Linked DNA regions of Ovis aries. The protein of the gene in region 4 purifies or fractionates together with the protein of the main gene of each other region. This does not show direct contact. Links are inferred from orthologs where the notes say so. Each region holds a gene or a part of one and is shown on either strand. Other genes may lie near its edges.

The links.
Region 1: the proteins of MRGBP (region 4) and ACTL6A purify together in Homo sapiens (co-immunoprecipitation; 4 studies listed by BioGRID and IntAct, with this or other methods). This does not show direct contact. The link is inferred for Ovis aries from reciprocal best matches to the Homo sapiens genes MRGBP and ACTL6A.
Region 2: the proteins of MRGBP (region 4) and BRD8 purify together in Homo sapiens (affinity purification with mass spectrometry; 10 studies listed by BioGRID and IntAct, counting the BioPlex papers as one, with this or other methods). This does not show direct contact. The link is inferred for Ovis aries from reciprocal best matches to the Homo sapiens genes MRGBP and BRD8.
Region 3: the proteins of MRGBP (region 4) and EPC1 purify together in Homo sapiens (affinity purification with mass spectrometry; 6 studies listed by BioGRID and IntAct, counting the BioPlex papers as one, with this or other methods). This does not show direct contact. The link is inferred for Ovis aries from reciprocal best matches to the Homo sapiens genes MRGBP and EPC1.
Region 5: the proteins of MRGBP (region 4) and EPC2 purify together in Homo sapiens (co-immunoprecipitation; 4 studies listed by BioGRID and IntAct, counting the BioPlex papers as one, with this or other methods). This does not show direct contact. The link is inferred for Ovis aries from reciprocal best matches to the Homo sapiens genes MRGBP and EPC2.

What each region holds. Positions count from the first base shown.
Region 1 is NC_056054.1:208,341,936-208,346,082, reverse strand, and holds the start of ACTL6A (actin-like protein 6A), read left to right. Parts: upstream 1-1,338; 5' UTR 1,339-1,507; coding exon 1,508-1,532; intron 1,533-4,147.
Region 2 is NC_056058.1:47,270,507-47,274,446, reverse strand, and holds the start of BRD8 (bromodomain-containing protein 8), read left to right. Parts: upstream 1-1,139; 5' UTR 1,140-1,148; coding exon 1,149-1,167; intron 1,168-2,340; coding exon 2,341-2,437; intron 2,438-3,940. Other genes in the region: kinesin-like protein KIF20A, read right to left, coding at 1-103. UniProt on the Homo sapiens protein: May act as a coactivator during transcriptional activation by hormone-activated nuclear receptors (NR). Isoform 2 stimulates transcriptional activation by AR/DHTR, ESR1/NR3A1, RXRA/NR2B1 and THRB/ERBA2.
Region 3 is NC_056066.1:32,530,179-32,534,451, forward strand, and holds the start of EPC1 (enhancer of polycomb homolog 1), read left to right. Parts: upstream 1-1,472; 5' UTR 1,473-1,714; coding exon 1,715-1,867; intron 1,868-4,273. UniProt on the Homo sapiens protein: Component of the NuA4 histone acetyltransferase (HAT) complex, a multiprotein complex involved in transcriptional activation of select genes principally by acetylation of nucleosomal histones H4 and H2A.
Region 4 is NC_056066.1:54,281,703-54,285,663, reverse strand, and holds the start of MRGBP (MRG/MORF4L-binding protein), read left to right. Parts: upstream 1-1,156; 5' UTR 1,157-1,310; coding exon 1,311-1,458; intron 1,459-1,951; coding exon 1,952-2,073; intron 2,074-3,806; coding exon 3,807-3,888; intron 3,889-3,961.
Region 5 is NC_056055.1:160,774,407-160,777,918, reverse strand, and holds part of EPC2 (enhancer of polycomb homolog 2), read left to right. Parts: intron 1-303; coding exon 304-463; intron 464-1,413; coding exon 1,414-1,874; 3' UTR 1,875-2,718; coding exon of another isoform or gene 2,719-2,791; 3' UTR 2,792-3,512. UniProt on the Homo sapiens protein: May play a role in transcription or DNA repair.

The DNA.
Region 1 (4,147 bases), on a different chromosome or scaffold from region 4:
TTGAAGGCAGGAGGAGAAGGGAAGGCCAGAGAATGAGATGGTTGGATGGCATCACCATCTGGTGATGCAGAAGGAAATGGCAACCCACTCCAGTGCTCTTGCCTGGAAAATCCCATGGACGGAGGAGTCTGGTAGGCTACAGTCCATGGGGTCCCAGAGAGTCGGACACAACTGAGCAACTTCATTTCACTTCACTGACTGGATGAACATGAGTTTGAGCAAACTCTAGGAGATGGTGAGGGACAGGGAAGCCTGGTGGGCTGCAGTCCATGCAGTTACAAAGAATCAAACACGATTTAGTGAGTGAACAACAACCGAGATTACACTAAGTGAATAGTAAAGGGTTTTCTCACTAGCCTTGTTCCCTATCCTACAATCACTTTCTGCCACTCTGTGGCACTGAGATTGATGGAGTTAATCAATTGTTCTTAAAAACTACCTATATGTCTAGACTCTAGACAAACTAATTTAAGGACGGCTATTAACCTCAAGGATTTACAACATGACCGTGATTTGGGAGTTTTTATAGATCAAGCTGCCTGCTAAGAGGCAAAGGGACAAATTGTTGTAGTAATCCTGGGAGAGGGACAACGGTGATCTGACTGGGTTGGTAGACACAGGGGACTAAGAACAGACCGTTCCGAGATGTGTTTAGGATTAGGTGCTCGCTCAGGTGAGGACTGATTACATTGTATTACACCTGCCTCACAGGATAAAAGGAATTGATGACACATTTTAAGCGCTACTAAAGTTAACTGGGATACTGTGTCATCTCCTTCTTTTAATTATTAGTAACCACTTTTAAAATTCCAGGGTCTTATCGGTTTGTCTGGTTTACTGATGCCCTCTACCCCAAAGTGGAGGATAACATTCAATTTTTTCAGTTAGTTGAAAATACTTTTTCTGAAAAAAATAAAAACAAAAAACAAAAAAACACCAACCCTCATTCACTACAAGCCCAAACCACGGGTACTCCTGGTGGAGACACTTTCTCAAATTCCAGACTTCTTTTTCAGAGGCTTAGCTTGCTCTACCGGATTCCCACCTCTCCTCCGCTCCCAGCTACATCCTGAGCCCGCCCCAGACTGTTGCCTCCAGCCTTCCTCCTCCCCCTCCAGCTCCCTCCGCCCCACTTTCCCTCCCACTAAAGAAGCCCCGCCTCCCCGGTTCCGCAACCCAACTCCTTCCCTCCTTCCGTCGCTTTCCTCTCTCCCCGCCCCTATGGCTGCCTTCGATTGGCTAAACTGGCTGTGCCGCGACAAGGCTGTAGCACAGCCTTATTTTTATTGGTTGAAGTGTAGCCGGGCCTCTTGTGATTGGCCGATAGCAGGAGACAGCAAGTGTGACTGCGTTCCGGGTGTGTGTGGCCGCCGCTTTGTTGCCTGAGGGGGGTGGTGGTGGAAGTTAAGGGAGTCGGGGGCTAGCGCTTCTGCAGACCCGCAGTCGCAGCCGTTGCAGTCATTTCGCCAGGTGGCCTTTACGAGTAGAAGTCTCGTCGACAGCAACCATGAGCGGCGGGGTATACGGGGGAGGTGAGTGCGGTCGGTCGGGAGAGCGCGCCTTTTTAGCTTGTGGGGTTTGTAACCGCCGCCCCCAGCCCTCCCCTTCCCGGCGGCCCTTCCGGTCTCCCCCTGGGGACCCCGGCCTCCCCGCCCTATCCCCGCCCCGCGCTCTGCCCGCCTCCGGAGCCCACCCGGCTCGGCGAGCGCTACAGGCGCCGGGAGTCGCCGCCCCCTACGGCCCCTTCCAGCCTCGGGCCGCCGAGGAGCCGACTTTTGGGGCTGCGCGCGGTCCGGGGCTGGTCGGGCAGCTCCACTCGCGGGCCAGGCCCGGAGAGCCGCGGCTGGAGTGACTGGCCGCAGGGTCACCTCTCTCCCAGCCGGCTCTGTCGCGGTGTGCGCGCCCGTTTAAAGTTGGGAGGTCCCAGCAGTTCGTCGGCGTGGCTGGAGGGTTTCCGCGGCGTCTCGGAGGTGGCACAGCGAGCCGCGAGGAGTGGAACTGATTGGAGGAGTCGTGGCCACTCAGGACACAGCCTCCTTCTCCATCCGCGCTCACGCAGCCTCACGCCTTTCAATAACTTCTCCCTATTTGTTGACTGTGGATGCTCCGGACTTATTCGTGGGCGACTCTGCACCGGCGTAATTTAGGAACATATGCAATTTAAGGTTGCTTAAAGATGGGTGGGCTCCTGTGTAGTGAAAGATTACCATGGGCCTGGGTTGTAATATCAGCCTCACCACTTAGTAAGCTCATTGGCCTTGGGTAAGTTACTTAACTTTTGCCAACTTCAGGTTCGTCGTTTGTAGAATGATAATTCCTACCCATTGGGGTGGTTGTGAAGATTAAACGGCGGTAATGCTGCACTTACTACTAAAAGTATGATCCAAGGAGCAGCAGCAGCAGCATCACCTGCAAGCTCTTTAGAAATGTAAAATCTCAAGCCCCACTCTAAATCTACCGAATTGGAGCCTCCGTTTTTTCGAGATGCTTAGATGAAGCATTGATGTATATGATTCATGTTTTTGATGAATTAGAGAAGAAAGAAACTCAAAGTCGTGCTTTTGTTACTGTGTTCAGTAAGGATACTGTTTTCTGAGCGGATGGAATATTATAGGTAGGAGATGAAAATAAGCTTTTCAAAGTTTTTAGTAGTTTTGAAGTGAAGCTTGAGTTTCTGCTCAGGTGACACGCTGGCCCTCACCCTCTCCTTCTCCATATATGTTTTTGGTTTTGATTTCTGAAGTGTAAGAATCAGTTTTCCATTGTTACTTTGGAGAAAGCCTAGTGGATCTTCATGATTTACTTTTTCCCCACCTGAAGATGTAATTCTGACAAAAAAGCTGAGTATACGTGCTCGTGGAGGCTGCAGACTCTATTTTTTGTTTTGTTTCGTTTTTGGCCTCACCATACAGCCTGTGGGATCTTAGTCTCCAGATCAGGGACAGAACCAAGCCCCCTGCGTGGGAACCACAGAGTCTTAATTACTGGACCACTAGGGAAGTCCCTCTCCAGTGTTCTTGCCTGGAGAATCCCAGGGAGGGGCGAGCCTGGTGGGCTGCTGTCTATGGGGAAGTCCCTGCTGATTGTTTTGACTCTCAGGTTCACTCATCTAAGGACCTAAAGGTTGTCCACTGAGTATTTTAATGTGAGTAAGGTAGAAATGGATACCAATAATTGCAACAGTCAACATTTATTGAGTGCATCCTGTGTACCAGGAACTGTTCTTCATGACAGAGGCTTGTAATGCATTGTATTTAATACATGCATTGTCAGTTAATCCACAACAGCCATGGGAGGTGGTTCTACTTTTCCCCATATTACTAAAGAAGAAAATAAGGCATAGAAAAGATTAACCAGCCTAGAGTTACATAACTTTCTAGCAAATGGGCAACAGGAACTTCTGGGATAAAGAAAAGGCATTTCAGTAAAACCTTTTCTCATTAAAAAAATTTTAAGTCATTTTTCAAGTATATAACCACAGCATATTCATGTATGATTTAGATATTCAGAATAAACATCACTTTGTTCATGTAGAGGAGTATATCTTAAAGCCTGTTTCACATATAAAGTATTTAAAACTGACAAAAATAAGTGTATGATTTTGTGTTTGAGCTGCTACTGTATGACCAGTATTTATAGTGGGTCACATTTCCCAAAAGGTTTACTGTAAAAGGCAACGAAACCTCCCACCCACATTTTGTGTGTAATTAACTTAGTAAACTGTATTTTTAACTAACTTGCTTATAAAATGAATGTTTGTAGTTTAATTTTTAAAATTGGTAGCTCTTTTATTCCAGTGTTTTTTTCCTGATCAGACCTAACACTCCGCTTTAGATCTAATGCACAGTTCATCCAGATTTTCACACTTTCCATAACTGGTTTCTGGGCCTACTCATTGCTCCTGTGTCTATCTTACACGGTACTCCTCTGCTTCAGTCTCCTTTCCTTGACAGAAATAAACAGGTATACTACCGGTCCATCTTCGATACTTCATTACTTTTATCATTCCACAGCCCCCCTTCCCATCTCTAATCATAAAAACTTCTCAAAATCATTCTCCCTGTGAATTGGGGCACCCTTGTCCAAACAAAAAAGTAAAACAGCCTTCTTACCTCTTCGCAAAGTCAGCTTCCAGTATCGTGTTGGA
Region 2 (3,940 bases), on a different chromosome or scaffold from region 4:
TAACAGATCCCAAATCTGCAGCTGTGGACTCAAACATGGGGGAGACTACGACCTCCTCATCGGACAGCAAGCCAGCTGGTGGAGAAAGGATCCCTTGCGACATGGCAGCAGGGGCAGTTTAGGTCTAAAAAGAGACAAGAGTGGGTAGGGAGGAGAACCTTAAGGGATAAAAGGGGCTGAAGAATTCGCCCTCTTTTCTAGGTAAGAAACAATTCCCTTGCCCCAGGGCAACCTAGTCTCGCTGCCTGAATTCCTACTCCCTTCTCCTTTCGACTACCAGCAAACGGGAAAGAGAGAAAGAGTTAATCATTTAATCCAATCTGAGGCAGCATTTCGGACCGCGAACAGGAATGAACAGATATCTAACTCCGAAAACATAAGGCCAAGTTCCAAGTAGGGAGCCTCCCTCAGCCGTGTCAGAAGCCCTAGGCTCATTCTCTATACCTCGCTTCTAGGCCCACGGTGAGGACAGAATTATTAAGAAAAACAGAAATGGCGGCAGTTCCGCTTTCTGAATGCCTAATCCGCCAGAGCAAAGGTGCCCCAACTTGACTCAAGTTCAGCCGCACACTTACCTAAAGACGCCACACTTCTACGGGACCGGCTCACTCACACCCCACAGCCGAAACTGGGCTTTCGGCAGCTTGAGAGGACAACCCCACCCACGAAGCGCACCTTTGTTTCTGATACAATGTTTTAAATTGCGCGCTGAGTTCGTTCGGCCAATCAGATAGCGAACCTTGCACCTACCAATCAGTGCAAGGGGGCGGGCGAAACCCGGAAACGGTTTTCTTAGGCTTGACCTCTCTGCTCAAATGTGGGACGGGTTACCAACTGTTGGATTTTGGAGCTGGGTCAACTGGAACTTCTGTTTATCAGTTTTTCTTGAACCCTAGGCATTTCTTTTCTAAGAAGCCTGAAGGAAATCCTAAGGCTTCAGCCACCATTCTCTGTTCTTTCGCACATTCCTTCTCAGGAACTCACAAGAATACCTGATTTGGGGCGCTGGTTCATCCTAGGGTGGGGAGAGGGGACTACATTTCCCAGGACGCACCGCGAATAAACGCTGGAACGCTATCTCCCAGAATTCCTTGGGCTTCAATTCGGCCAGAAATCTTCCTTCGGGGGTTGGAGACGTCGGGGCCAAGATGGCGACGGGAACGGGCAGTAAGTATCTGCCTTGCTCTTGCGTGGAAGGTGTTTGTAGAACCAAGGCCAGGCAACAGATCTGTCACACTCTTAGGGAGTAGAAGCAGTGATTCACCTGAGAGCCCAGAGCCATCAGAGACTTGGGCTCGAGCGGCGCTGTTAAGGCCAGCGGTTGGGGGTTGAGGGCCCAGAAGCGTGAAGTCTTACACTTAAGTAAGGCCGCGGAGTTTTTTTGCTTTTAGAATTTTTATTTATTGGCTGCGCTGGGTCTTCGTCGCTTTCCGTGGACTGTTCTCTAGTTGCCGCGAGGAGTGCTCCTCTCTAGTTGTGGTGTGCAAGGCCACGGAGCTTTGAGAAAAGCAGCCTAAGAAAATTCTTGTATGTTTGTCAGCTCTGCGGGGTGAGAGGGAAAAAAGGTGCCTTAGAGGCTCCGGCGTGCGGACAGAGATGCTGTGAGCCATATGGAGTGGCCGGGGTCCCAAAGAGTCATTTTCTGACGAACATTTGTGAGGCCTGTACTCACAGAGAGATGGGACATGTTAATCGTGAGCTTTTTCTGCCACTAGGGAAAAAATACATTTCCTGTATCTCAGCCATTTCCCTCTGTTTCAGGGACTGAGAAGGTCTTGTAGGCCTAACAGCTTGAGGGGAATGGGTGTAACTGAGAGAAGTAAACAAGTTTATGCTAAGAAGGAGGCGGGGCAGTAGCGGGGGTTGGCCGCTCGGAATCCTGGGAAATAAGGCCTGGGGTCCACTTTGGAATAAAGCATTCTTTTTTTTTTGGCCAGGGCAGAGCTGGGAGGTTGGTGGTTGGCAGGATCATGGGACCCACGTCCCCTCTAGGGAAAAGGCACAGACTTAACCACTGGACCACCAGGGAAGTTCCTGGAATAAAGCATTCTTAAAACTGGGTTTTTTGGAAGAACTGCCCTAAATTAACTTGACTTTTTTTTTTTTAAATATGGTAGAGTAACCATGGCATTTACAGAAAAATGTTTTGCCAGATAATCAAGTGCAGTTCTCAAGCAATGAATAGGCACCATCCTAGTGGTGGTGTTTACTAGAGAGGTGAAAATCAAGATTTGGTGATAGTGGCTCACTTTGTCCTTACAGGTTAGGACATTTTTGTATTAGACTTTTAATCCTCCCTTTGGGACTTAGTGCCTCAGTGGTTGTCTCTAAATCTTTCAGAACATAAGCTGCTGAGTACTGGCCCTACAGAGCCATGGTCCATCCGAGAGAAGCTGTGTTTAGCGTCTTCTGTCATGAGGAGTGGAGATCAAAATTGGTAAGGTATTTAGGATATCTGCTTCCTTGGGTATTAGAAACCGTTTTTTTTTTTTCCCCTTCATGTAAGTACCGGTGGATTCCAGTAGTTAACGTTTAAGCAGTAGTTAACAGCCTTCTTGAGATGCAATTACATATCACAAAATTATATTCACAGAATTCCCAGTATATTCACAGGATTTAACTTAATTTATTAAAATTATTAAAACTTATTAATATTTAATTTATTAAATTCACATAATTTACATAGGACCAATGCTAGAGTCTAATTTTACATTTTAAATACACTTGAAAGAAACCTCTTACCCTTAAGGAATCACTCTGCAAATCTCTTCGCCTCTCTAATATTTCCGCCTCCCTCACCAAACACTCATCTACTTTCTGTCTCTCTATAGCTTATTCTGATCATTTCATATAGATGGAATCATATACTTTGTGGTACTCTGGGGCTTAGCATAATGCTTTCAGGGTTCATGCTGGAGTATGCATCAGTACTTTATTCTTTGTTTTGATGAAATTGTAGTTCCTTGTATGGGTTTACCACATTTTGTTCATTTGTTGATGAACATTTGAGTGGTTTTTACTTTGCTGAATATTAATGCCGCTGTGAACATTTGTGTACAAGCTTTTGTGCAGGCATGTTTTCATTTCTCTTGAAAGAGTGGAATTGCTGGATCATAGTTGAGTTCAGTCACTCAGTCGTGTCCAACTCTGCTACCCCATGGACTGCAGCACGCCAGGCTTCCCTGTCCATTACCAATTCCTGGAGTTTACTCAGACTCATGTCCATTGAGTTGGTGATACCATCCAACCATCTCATCCTCTGTTGTCCCCTTCTCCCGCCTTCAATCTTTCCCAGCATCAGGTCTTTTCAAATGAGTCAGCTCTTCAAATCAGGTGGCCAAAATATTGGAGTTTCAGTTTCAACATCAGTCCTTCCAGTGAATATTCAGGACTGATTTCCTTTAGGGTGGACTGGTTTGATTTCCTTTCAGTCCAAGGGACTCTCAATGGATCATATTATAACTCATATTTATCTTTTTGAGGAACTGCTTTCAAACTAAAAAGTGGCCTCACCGTTTTACATTCCCACCAGCAATAAATGAGGGACCCAGTTTTTCTGCATGCTTGGCAAACATTTAGTCTTTTTGATTATAGCTATACTGCTGAGTGTGAAATGGTATTGTATTGTGGTTTTAATTTGTGTTTCTTTTAAGTACCAGAAAGTAGGACTGTGTGTGTTTTCCAATCTTTTTTTCTACCAGGACATAGTCTCATTTTTAACATTTGGTCTCCCCGCCCCCGACTTTTTTTTTTCTCTCCGTATCTAAAGTTACCTTTTAGTTGTCTTAAGTGTTAAAATTACTTAATAAACAAATTTGCATTTGTAGGGTTTATCTCTACTACTTTAACCATTCAAATGAGTTTATGAAAGCACCATTACTGATCACATGTAACACTTCTACAATTCTATGTATTTTTCAAATAACTTTTCAAAGAGAAA
Region 3 (4,273 bases), about 22 Mb from region 4:
CCTGAATAATTAGCAGGTACTCAGAGGGCCCCTGAGGTCTCAAAAAAACGTTTGCTGGTTGAGTCAGTCAATGCATCCTCTTAGTACAGGACTTGTAGGTGAATGTCTGCTACACAGAAGTGAGCTGTCAGTATTTGAGTTTGATGATAATTTTGGAGAACTGCAATCCCGTTTTCTCCTTTCCTTCTCCCCACCCCATCCGGGTGGTAGCTAAACCAGACTGAAAGATAACACCTTGCTTCTGTGCCTTAAGCTAATAACAGTTCCCATCCAACCCATTATTTAAGAAGTGATTATTTTTATTATGTGTCCCCTGGGGAGAAAAGCGGAGGTACAGAGCATTTTTGGATCTCGGTGAATATTTGAAATTTTACTGCCAAACCTATTAAATCCACCGCAACAGTCTTTCGGGTTTTTAAAATATTCTGCTGGAGAGGGCTCTCTGGATACTCATTTTCATGTGTAATATAAACCACATGGTAGCCATCATATCCATCTAAATACTCATCTAATAGTTTTTCTTTCTAAAAAAACATTTTGGGGGGGGCGGTTGGCAGGAGTGCTATAAGTCTTCAAATAATTGTAAAAAGTTTTTTAGAGGACAAGTGTCAACCCATGGTTAAATAAGGTAAAGGTAAAAATAAGTGTCAACCCATGGTTACGTTGAAGCAACATTTTCTTCCAGTGCAGAAAAATCATCCGGCTCTCAAAATGTGAACTAGGTCTTGCTTTTATATTTTTTCCGTAAAGGGTTACGGTGCCCGATAATTATTATTCCCTTTACTTCGATGACAATAAACGTGACTGTGGGTCGATAAAAATGCAGGATGAAAAAATAAATAAAACCACCAAAATCCTAGTTGGAGCAAACGTAGGACGCCTCTTGTTTACACTGAGCGCAATGATGGGAACTGACCCAGGATCCAAGCGGAGACGAGCAAATACCGTCCAGAGTTTCCTTACACGTAAAGATAATGGCCGGTTAAAAAGTTCACTCAAAGTAGCATCCCGGCCCGAATGGCGTCTGTAGTTTCGTTATAAAACTTGAGACGCCGCGCCGGCCGGGGCTGGGGGCGCCCGCTCCCTCACCCAGGGCCCGGCCGCCAGCGCTGACAGGTGCCCGGGGCCGTCGCCGCGCCGAGGGGGTGCTGTAGCTTCGCTGCACCCTCGCCTGTCAGCCAACGGCGCCGGCGGGAGCGAGCGCGGGACGGCGGGCGCGCAGGGCGGGAGGCCGGCCGTGGTCCCCGGCGTCCGAGTGCCCCGCGCGCCGCCCAGACCCGGCCGGTCCGCCCGCGACCGCGGGGGCGGGGGCCGAGCTGCCGGGCGCGGGGGAGCGGGGCCGGGCGCCGGGGGTTGGCGGGACGCGCGCTCCGTGCCGGCGCCCGGCCTCGAGCCCGCGGCCCCCCCCCCCCGCGTGCCCGCGCCGCTGCGCGATGCAGTGTGGGGAATGGCTGGGGTTGGCTGAAGAGCGCACAGTGGAGTTTTAATGTCCGCCATGTTGGCCATGGCGTATTGAGGAGAGCGAGCGAGAGAGGAGCGGAGCGTCTCGGCCTCCCACCTCCAGGCGGCTCTGAGTGCCCGGACGGCGGGCCCCGCGCTCCGCCCCTCCAGTCCCCGGCAGCGGTGGGCGAGTGGGGACCGAACCCCCGGTTCTCCATGATCCCGCTGGCCGGGGCCGTTTCCCCAGAGCGGAGAGGTATCTGCTGCGCCTGAGATGAGTAAACTGTCGTTTCGGGCGCGGGCGCTAGACGCCTCGAAGCCGCTGCCGGTTTTCCGCTGTGAGGATCTGCCCGACCTGCACGAATACGCCTCGATAAACCGGGCCGTGCCGCAGATGCCCACCGGAATGGAGAAGGAAGAGGAGTCGGTACGTGTTAACTCCCCTGTCCGACCCGCCGCCGGGCCCCGCTCCCTCCGCTGCCTGCGGCGGCGGCGGAGCGCAGACCCACACAAAATGGCCGCCATCTTCTCTCCGCCGCCGACTCCCGTCGCCGGCCGGGCCTTTACCCTGGGGCCCCCGGCCTCGCCCCCCGGCCGCCGCGGCCCGGCGAGGCCTCCTCTCGGGCCACCCGCCGACCCTGGCCCCTCGGACGCGGGGCCCGCGGAGTTCGGGCGCCCGAAAGGCACAAAGGGGTCACGTGACGAGGCTGCCGGCAGCCATTTTGTGGTCGGAGCGCTTGGGCTGGGCCTTGTGCATCCGGAGAGGGAGCGGGCGGGCGGCGGGGGGTGCGGCGGCCGGGCCGCGGAGGCCCTGCCTGCAGGCCTCTAGGCGGGCCGCTGGGTGGCGCTCTGGGGCCGGCTCGGCCTTCGCGCGCCGCCGGCGCCGGGAGCGCAGGTTCCGGGCGCTCGGGTGGCGGTGCTCTCTCGGCGGCCCGCAGGCTGGCGGGGCTGCGCGGCCCACGTGGACCCGCCGAGAGGCCGGGCGGGGTGGCGGGCGTCCTGCAGCGGAAGGTCGAGGCCGGCGAGCAGCCCAGAGCCGACTTGCGTCCTACGTCCTCTTTCTGGGACTTTTGCATCCATTCCTCCGAGTCCTACTTAATCGGAGGGTTGTCAACTCCTGCTCCTCCTGACTTTTTCTTTGATCCTTGAGAACATGTTGCAGATTTTGAAGGGAACTCCGTGGCTCTTCTAAAGCCTGTGTAACTTTATTATTTCTTTTCCTAATAAAAATGTAAGTTCGCCTGATTGCTGGTTTCTCAACCTGCGGGAGACAAGACCCAGTCTAAGTAGATGTTAACAGATCTCCGTTTAGAAAAAGGGTTCTTTCTTATCCATCACCGAACTCAAGTGGAGTGAACTCTTAACCGGGAGATGTTTTCCTTGAGGGGGGGGCTTCAGTGTTTAAATGTTGACAGCTTACAGACACTGTGTCGTAGCTGTGGCTGTCCTTGGTCGTGGAAGTTGGGCTCAGACACAAGACTTCGTCTCGTTTCCCCCAGATCCTTGTCGGTGTCATTCGATGCCGACTAAGGAATTGCATACCTTGGTTTTCAGGTACAGCCACTTAAACAGGGGGGGCAGTGTGTTGACAGTTCAAGAAGTCGAGGAGTCGCTGGATTGGTACTACAATTTTGTGGTGGAAAACTATATTGTAATACCTCTATTTGGTACTGTACGGAATTTTTTTAATGTAGAAATTTTGCTCTGTACTGTTGATTTTGAAAATAAAGCTGTTGAAACTGTTTGGGTTGTTCAACCTTTTAAAGTCAAAAAGTTGTGACAGTTGACTCTTCCTTCGGAGAGTAGTGTCTTTAGCGTGTGTAGTAGTTGAGATTGTCTAGTCCTGACTCCGAGCACGTTACCTATGAGACAGAATCTCCTAATTTCTTTTACTTGTTACCAACTTTGAGAGTAGAATGGTGCCGTTTGTTTATTTTTAAATGAGTGATTTGTTTTTAAAAATTAAAGTACTTGTGACTGCAGAATCTTGTCTTTTGGTTTTATTTTTGTTTCTTAAGTTTTACAAATATGCTTTCAAGATGGGGGTGTCAGTGTTAAGACTGACCTGGAAATTAAGTTGTGGCTATTGTTTTGCCCCCAAGGAGCTGCAGAGCTTTGATAAAAACAGCACTACACAGTACACCTTAGAAACATACTGAAGTCTGGCTTCTTTGAACACTTCGGGCTGTCTCAGGAGCCACAGCCTAAGATCAGAGCTGAACCCAGCTGGAGTACCAAGGCTTATTACATTTTTACGGATAATTTTCATTCACTGAAAGAATTTTGACGTTTGTTATTTTCTAACATGTAGAGTCCCTATTTTTCAGGGGATTTTTTCCCCCCTCAGACTACCTTCTCCTATCATCCGTTTAGAATTTGTTTCACTTCACATCCAACCAAAACTATGACCAGTGAAACGGAGACCTCAGGAATAAATACTGAAGAGAGGAATGTAAACAGTCCCAGGTGGAACAGCTGCTCTCCAGTCCTGTGGTTCATACTGGCCAGAGGAGGCTGTGTAGCTCAAATCACAGCATTAAAAGTAGCATGTTGATGTTGAAAACGTATACTAAGCACAAATAAAGGTAACTGAATATTGAGTTAGCGTTAGAAAAACAGTCCTTTTGATAATTTGCTAAAGAAGGATATGCTTCTTATAAAGACAAAAGATTAAAACAAACGTCTGCTTCTGCTTGACACGTTAGTTAGGGTCAGGAGTTGATCACGAAAGATGGGACAGGATTAGATGACAATAGTTTCATGTGTGTGTGTCACCTTATGAAAATTGTGTGGACCATACCTGGTAATTGTTAGCGTATTTTGTTTCTGTGGT
Region 4 (3,961 bases):
GTGGAGGAGCAGGGACCCTGAAGTGTCTGGGAAGTGTAGGGAGATTAATGATGAGGGCCACTGTCTGTTAGTGCTTTCTGTGTGACAGAGCCCGAGTGAAGTGGCTTTGGGCTGTGCTCCATTCCACCTCACAGCAAGCCCTGAGGGGAGCCCCACTTGTGGGTCAGAGAGAGGAAAGAAGCACAGGCCCAGCAAAGTCACAATGTCCCTCCACATCGTGGCTCCAGGACAGCCGGTGGCACTGGGTCACTGAAATCCTCCCTGGGCCACATGTCCCCACTCTGTGGGGACTGGCATCACCAGCAGCGCTCTTCACACAAGGGAGGACAAGACTGAGTCCCCACTGTTCCGGGGGTGAGGCTGGCCAGAGCGGTTCCGAATGCCGGCTAAGAAGCGCGAGCGTGTGCCCAGGGCACCCCAGGATAAGGCGCCGCCGTTAGTTGCACTGCAAGGAGGACACCTGCGGCCTGGAGAGGCTCAGCGTTTTGCCTGGCTCACACGGCTGGCAAGCCGCAGAGCCAGAAAGGGACCCGGAAGGCCGACCCTATGTCTACACCCAGGGGGAGACGAAGAGCAAGAGCGCTCCTCGCCTTGGGTAACCGCCCGGAGCACCGCGTGGGCGTGGCCTGACGGAGAAGGGCCGGGGAGAAGCCCTCGGGGGCGGGGATGGGGCGGGGCGGGGCGGGGAGGAGCCGGCGGTCTTGATTGGGCGCAGCTTTGAGCTTGTCACCTGACTGCCCAGGCCGGCCGCCCCATTGGCCCCGCCCCTCCCGACCAGGGTTAACCCCCAGGGCCCAATGCTGGTCACCCTGGAGGCCCCAGGCGGGAAGGCTGTACCCCGACGTCCCTGCCCCGGTGTGCAGGAGCCTCTCTGTGCAGCGCTCAGGCCAAGGGTCAGCTGGAGGCAGTGGAAGCCCTTGGAGCCCCCACTCGCAGGAACTGTAGGTCGCCTGTTCTTTTTCTTCTTTGCTTCTTACTGAGGTGCAGCTTGCAATCCCGCCATCGTAAGCGCAGAGTTCAGCGGGGTTTACCCCGAGCTGTGCAGCTACGGGCACAATCTAATTTAGGGCATTTCCATCCATCTACGCAAACCCACTCCTTCGCCTGATCCGCCTGCTCTGCCGGCGCTGCGCCGCGAGACCGTGCCGCCTGGGGGCGCGGCGACCCAGCGCTCAGCTGCGCCTGCGCCTGCGCCGCGGGAGAGTCCGAGAGCGAGCCCGTCGAGCGCGCGCCCACGCCGCGAGTGCGCCTGCGCGGAGCTCGTGGCCGTGCCCGCTCCCGCCCGGGGCTCGTCGCTGGGCGGCGGGGCCATGGGGGAGGCCGAGGTGGGCGGCGGCGGCGCGGCCGGCGACAAGGGCCCTGGGGAGGCTGCCACCAGCCCGGCCGAGGAGACGGTGGTGTGGAGCCCCGAGGTGGAGGTGTGCCTCTTCCACGCCATGCTGGGCCACAAGCCCGTCGGTGAGCAGAGCGCCGCGCCGGGGCGGCCCACCCGCGTGGGGGCGGGGCGGCCGGCAACGGTCGGGGACGCGCGCTGGGCGGGGCCTCCTGCGCTTGCACCCCGCCGACCGTGCCCTCACCTGCGCACCCTGCCCCCACCTGCGCACCCCATCCATGCTTCCTCCAGCAGTCCCCCACTCCTGCCCACGCTGCCCCCTTCTATACCCTACCCCCACCCGACTCTGCCCCCTTCCTGTGCCCAGCCACCCATCCCGGCTGACTCCAGCCCTCACGTGCACCCCCACCCCTGTGCCCTCGTTACACCTCCGCTGCACACCCCTGCCTTTTCCTCTCCCACCTCTCTCCGCTGCACCTCCTACCTCTTCCACCCTCCACCTTTGCCTCCCTACACCCTTGCAACCACTGCCCGCTCTCTCCCCCTTGCCCCCTACCTCTTCGCTACCCTACCAGCTGGCCTACCCCTCCCCCACAAGCCGACCCCTTCCTTCTGCAGGGGTGAACCGGCACTTCCACATGATCTGTATCCGAGACAAGTTCAGCCAGAACATCGGTCGGCAGGTCCCATCCAAGGTCATCTGGGACCACCTGAGCACCATGTATGACATGCAGGCACTGGTGAGCTGGACCCCCGCAGACAGAGCTGCTGGCAGGGAGCCCCCTCCACACCGCCTACCCTGCCTTTGTCCCCACCCCCCCCACCCCCCACCACCAACCACGTCCTACCTTGACATCCAGGATGTCCCACAGGTGACCAGTTGTTAAACAAGATAGCTCTGGGTAGTTTTATGAAAACACAAGCTTGGTGACAGTAGCTAGTTATTGCACTGAATCTACCTTAGATTTTGGGGGGGAGTCGAGGTTCAGTTAAGATCTTTCCAGGAGATAACTAGGGAGCTGAGGCCTGTGTGGGAGGGGGCTCTTAGGTTGTCAGTCCTGTGGAAAACTCCCGAGTGCTATAAGCAGGGAGGTGACCGGGTCTGAGTCACATTGAGATGAACATGGTGGTTTCTGTGAGAACTAGGCCAACCCTCAGGGAAGACCACCCTCAGGGAACCCCCAGATGCTGGGTCTGAGGGAGAGCAGGTCAACTTGGTAACCAGGACAGCAGAAAAGACAGGTGGGTGTTCCCTGCAGAGGAACAGCAGGAGTCAGGGCCCTGTGGCAGCAGGCGTCAGGACTCGGGGCTGCACCCGCACCCCACCCTGTGCCCCTCCCTCCTCCCTCCCTCCCACCCTGAGCTTCTAAGTGAAGCTCAGACCCTCTTGTGTCCTTAACCCTCACCACCACAAGTTCCCTGTTGGCCTTGGGAAAGTCGTTTGCATCTCCTTGTCCCAAGGCAGAGAAGGAAGAGAAATGACAGTACTGCTCTGACCCCGAGCCTGCAGTTAGCACCCAGGAACTCGAGGTCAAGCTGTTGAACTGAAGCAGGCCGCCCGAAGGGCTGTGCCCACCCGTTGGGGCACCACTCCCCCAGAATTCCAGTGTTCAGCAGCTTGGCAGGACCCCCCATGCTTGTCATGTTGGGGTGTCACCTGGCCCCCAGACGCTTCCTGCATCTCCACTCCAGGCTGGGGCCCAAAGCTGGACACAGAGACAAGTATGGGAGGGCCCCTGTCCTGAGGGGCCTTTGGTGCGGTAGACAGGACAGATGGCTCTCAAGTGCAGACGCTGGCTCAGAGGGTGCTGAGGCAGTGATGCCCCGTACAGGGTACGGTGATACTCTGCTGTGGGGGCCACCAGGGAGGCTCTCAGTCCAGGACAGGTGGCCCTTCCTTCCTCAGTTCCTTGGACCCCAGCACCGCTATAGAGCTGATGCCATGGTCACCTGGGACCTTGTAAATATGGGTCTGTGGATCTCACCCCACAGGATGACCGTGGGCCCAGGAGCTCTCGGGGTTTGTGAAGCTCCCAGCTGGCAGGTGGCACACTTACTCACTGACCACCTGGCTTGCAGCTCAGCTCCCAAGTTGGGGACTAGAAGCCCTGTCTCCTGAATCCCCTCCCAACCCAGAGACCCTTCCCACCAGCTCACCTTTCCCTTTGTCTGGTGGTGGTGTTTCTGGCTCTCTGTCCCTCCAGGCCTACGTGATCTGGGGAACAAGTGGAGCCTGGCGAGCATTCCTGGTGGCTCCTCCATTTTGCTTTGTTTGCCTGGTTTCCACGAGAGAGAACAAAGGCCTCAGGCCCCACGCCTGCCCACTGCAGCCCCTCGGGACAGCCATCTGTGCTCATTGGTCACTCCTGAGTTGGCTCTTACATCTCTAGTCACATTTTCTTTTAAATGTGATATTTAAAATCATATTTTCTTCTTTGCTTCTAAAAAAAAAAACACCCTTGTTTGTCATCAGCACGAGTCTGAGATTCTTCCGTTCCCAAATCCAGAGAGGAACTTCATCCTTCCAGAAGAAATCATTCAAGAAGTCCGAGAAGGTATGACTCGGGCAAGGGCAGATTTGGGAATGGGAAAAGGTGTCAGGGTGAAGGTCACGAGCCTCAGAGAGTG
Region 5 (3,512 bases), on a different chromosome or scaffold from region 4:
TAATGAGACATAGTAACGATTGTCAAGTATTTTTAAAGGCATTAACACTTGGAAAAATGAATAGGGCATAAAGATTTGGATTGTTTATTGCCCTAGCTCTTTCTCATAAATAGTTGCTTCTCAGTTTAGTAACTTTCTTATTTCACAGATGAAAATAGTCTATGAAGTCCTAGATCTCTTAACATAAAAACTTTTAACTATTCAGAATGAAAAAGGCAACAGCCTCTTGGGTTATCTCACTTTTTTAAGTGTTTGTGAACTCACATCTGAAAAGTTGAGAGTTTAACTTTGTTCATTTTATAGGGCTCAAGCACCTCTGACTGTATGTCTAAAACACTTGACTCAGCCAGCGCCCATTTTGCTGCATCTGCAGTGGTCAGTGCACCTGTTCCAAGTCGCAGTGAGGTAGCCAAGGAACAGAACACTGGCCACAGCAACATAAACGGTGTTGTCCAGCCTTCAGGTAAGCCTGTCGTTTCAAGTGATACTTACTAGTTCAAAGTTGCAACTCAGTGATTTGAGATTTGGTTTTTTATTTATTTATTTATTTTTGGCGGGGGGGGGGGGGGGGGGGGGTTGATTTTTAAATCCAGAGGGGAAACATTGTACAAGAAGTCAGTTAGGACTCCATAATTTCTATGGCTCTGTGTGGTGGAATAGCTTGATGTTTCTAAAAGTCACATCAAGCCTGCTCCCTGGGTCCTCCCATGCCCAGTTGATACCTACCTGTGTAACAGTCCACCCTGCCTAGTTTTATCTACATACTATCATTTGCCTCACATCTTACCAGTCACATCAAGCCAATTGCTAACCATCATTGTTGAATCATTTGTACATTCTTAAAGAGGAGAATTATATTAATAGTCCAGATGATCTGTCAGAAGTTGGAAATTGGATTTACCTTCCCAGTCTTACACACTCACAGCCCTGCTTTCTGTGACTCCTTGTGAAGTACAGTATTGCTGTGAAACTATTTCTGCGTCAAACTACCGAGAGTACTTTGTTCTTCCTATCAGCCTTTAACTTCTGCTCAGACCCTAGGATTTTCCACTTGCTATTCCATATACCTATGATTGTGATTGCCCTTCCTTACTGATGTTCTTCCTTGTGCAAATTCTAATGGAAGTCCAATTTTCATCTCCACCTGCCCTCAGTCTCCAAGAAGACCTCTCTGTCCTGTTACACAGTTTCCATATATGAAGGCAGCAGAATACTTTGCAAAACTGTTTTATGCAGGCTAGCAGAAAGAGGGTATCTTTGGGGTTGTACAGGTGAATATGTTGTGGTTATTGATTAGAAACTCTCTTCAGAGATTTAATTAGATTACAAATGTTTGCATTTTAAACTCCTAATTTTTTAAAGAGTTTAATTAATGTCTCATGAGTTGAACAGTTTTTTTTCCTTCTCCTTCAGGAACCTCTAAAACATTATACTCCACCAATATGGCTTTATCATCCAGCCCAGGGATTTCAGCTGTACAGCTTGTAAGGACAGTTGGCCACACCACTACAAACCACTTAATCCCAGCATTGTGCACAAGCAGTCCTCAAACACTTCCCATGAACAATTCCTGCCTGACAAATGCAGTGCACCTCAATAACGTCAGTGTTGTTTCTCCAGTCAATGTGCATATCAATACACGGACTTCAGCACCATCGCCAACAGCCTTAAAACTCGCCACAGTTGCTGCCAGTATGGACAGAGTGCCAAAGGTTACTCCTAGCAGTGCCATCAGCAGCATAGCCAGGTGTGTGTGTGTGTGTGTGTATTTCAAGTATCATTCTGTCTCTTTCTGCTGGCTCAGATCCTGTGGGAGGAGAAGACTTTTCCTTTTTTTCTTTTACTGCTCAAACCATAGATATCTTGTCAGCTGATTGACTTGCTTTTCAACAGATATTGAATATCTGCTTAGTCTAAAGCTGTATGACTTAGATCTTTAAGGTCCCTAGTAGAATGTTTAAATGCCAATCAGAACTGTTACTTTAAAAAAGGGGGGAGGATAGTCCACATCAACTTGGGAACCATCAAACTGAAAAAATACATCAGCTTTAGTTATTCTTATATTTCTTCTTTGTAGTTTAGGCAGTCTGGCAGGCTAGAGTTATTGTTAGCCTTCAGAGCTTTAGTTTTCAAATCAAATTTGTATTTTTTTAACATTACACCCAAAGGGAAAGTAAATTATTTTGTGTATGTTTTAGAACTGAGAATATCCTGGAATTAACTAAATCTATGATAATGTATTTCAGATTGCTTTTTTCTTTCTGTGACACTAATGCATGCGAACAGTGAATCAAAAAAATTGATCTGCATAGATTAATAACTACATGACCATAAGCTGTAAAATTAAACTGTAGTGGAAAGTAATTTAAGTAATGTTGTGCTTCCAGTTATTATTATGTATGAGCATCATCTGCTCTGTCTATTGTAAAAAGCTTGAATTGTCCTATATTATATGTTTGATAAGTAATTTATCATTGACTGCTACTGAAATACTGTTAAGTTGCTCTTTTTCCTAAGTAAATAATTATAATCAAGTTCATAGGATTTCTTAACTGAAGAAAACTTTTCCTTATTCCTGTATGGAAACTGTAAAAATGGGAGATGTTCTTGTGCAGTATGTTTAATTGTAATTATATAAAACACATCTGTAAATACTAAATGATAAACATCATATTCTAGAGAGTATTAATGTTTATTTTACTCTTTGCCTTATTATAGAGAGAACCATGAACCAGAAAGATTGGGTTTAAATGGAATAGCAGAGACAACAGTAGCTATGGAAGTGACATAACCTAAAACATGTGGCTTTGACCTGTGCTGATGGTGTGCAGTCATTCATATTCCAGCTGAATGCAAAAGGCGAAACTCTGTGGATCACAGAGGATAACAATGGACCTAAATGGACTATAGTATATCGGATGTTGAATCGATATATGATGTATATTTTGTAAAATTGGGAAAATCACTACCTTGTAAAATAGTTTATTTGTATCATCAATATTATTTCTGTTACTTGAATAGTAGATATTCATCATCATGCTTTTGCACTTGAATTTGCAACTGAATGGATTTTAAAAAATAATTCTTTAATGGGATCATGAGCATGAAATGGGATCCTGCATCACTTGTTTTAACTATTTATTTTGCCATGTTTACATTTTGTATCTTGTAAAAATAAATCCAACTTTGTGTCTAAAAAGTTAAAGATTCATAGCTAGGAAATGAAATTCTTGTAATTTTTTTCTAAAGGAACTGTAAAGTTTTCACTTGGTTCATTTTGTTTCACAATTTGACTAGATGGACTTTTTGGTAAATACTTTAGTGGCATTTCACTGTCAAATATGAAGTTCAAGGCAAAATAGTATTTTCTATTACTGTGCAGGGGAAAGGGATGGATCGATACATGCAAATTTAATGTAGTGACTCACTTTTCCATATATTTTGAATGTATATTTCTATTTATAATACCAGTTTATAAAAAATGATTACACAGAAAAAAAGGACTAGGAAAA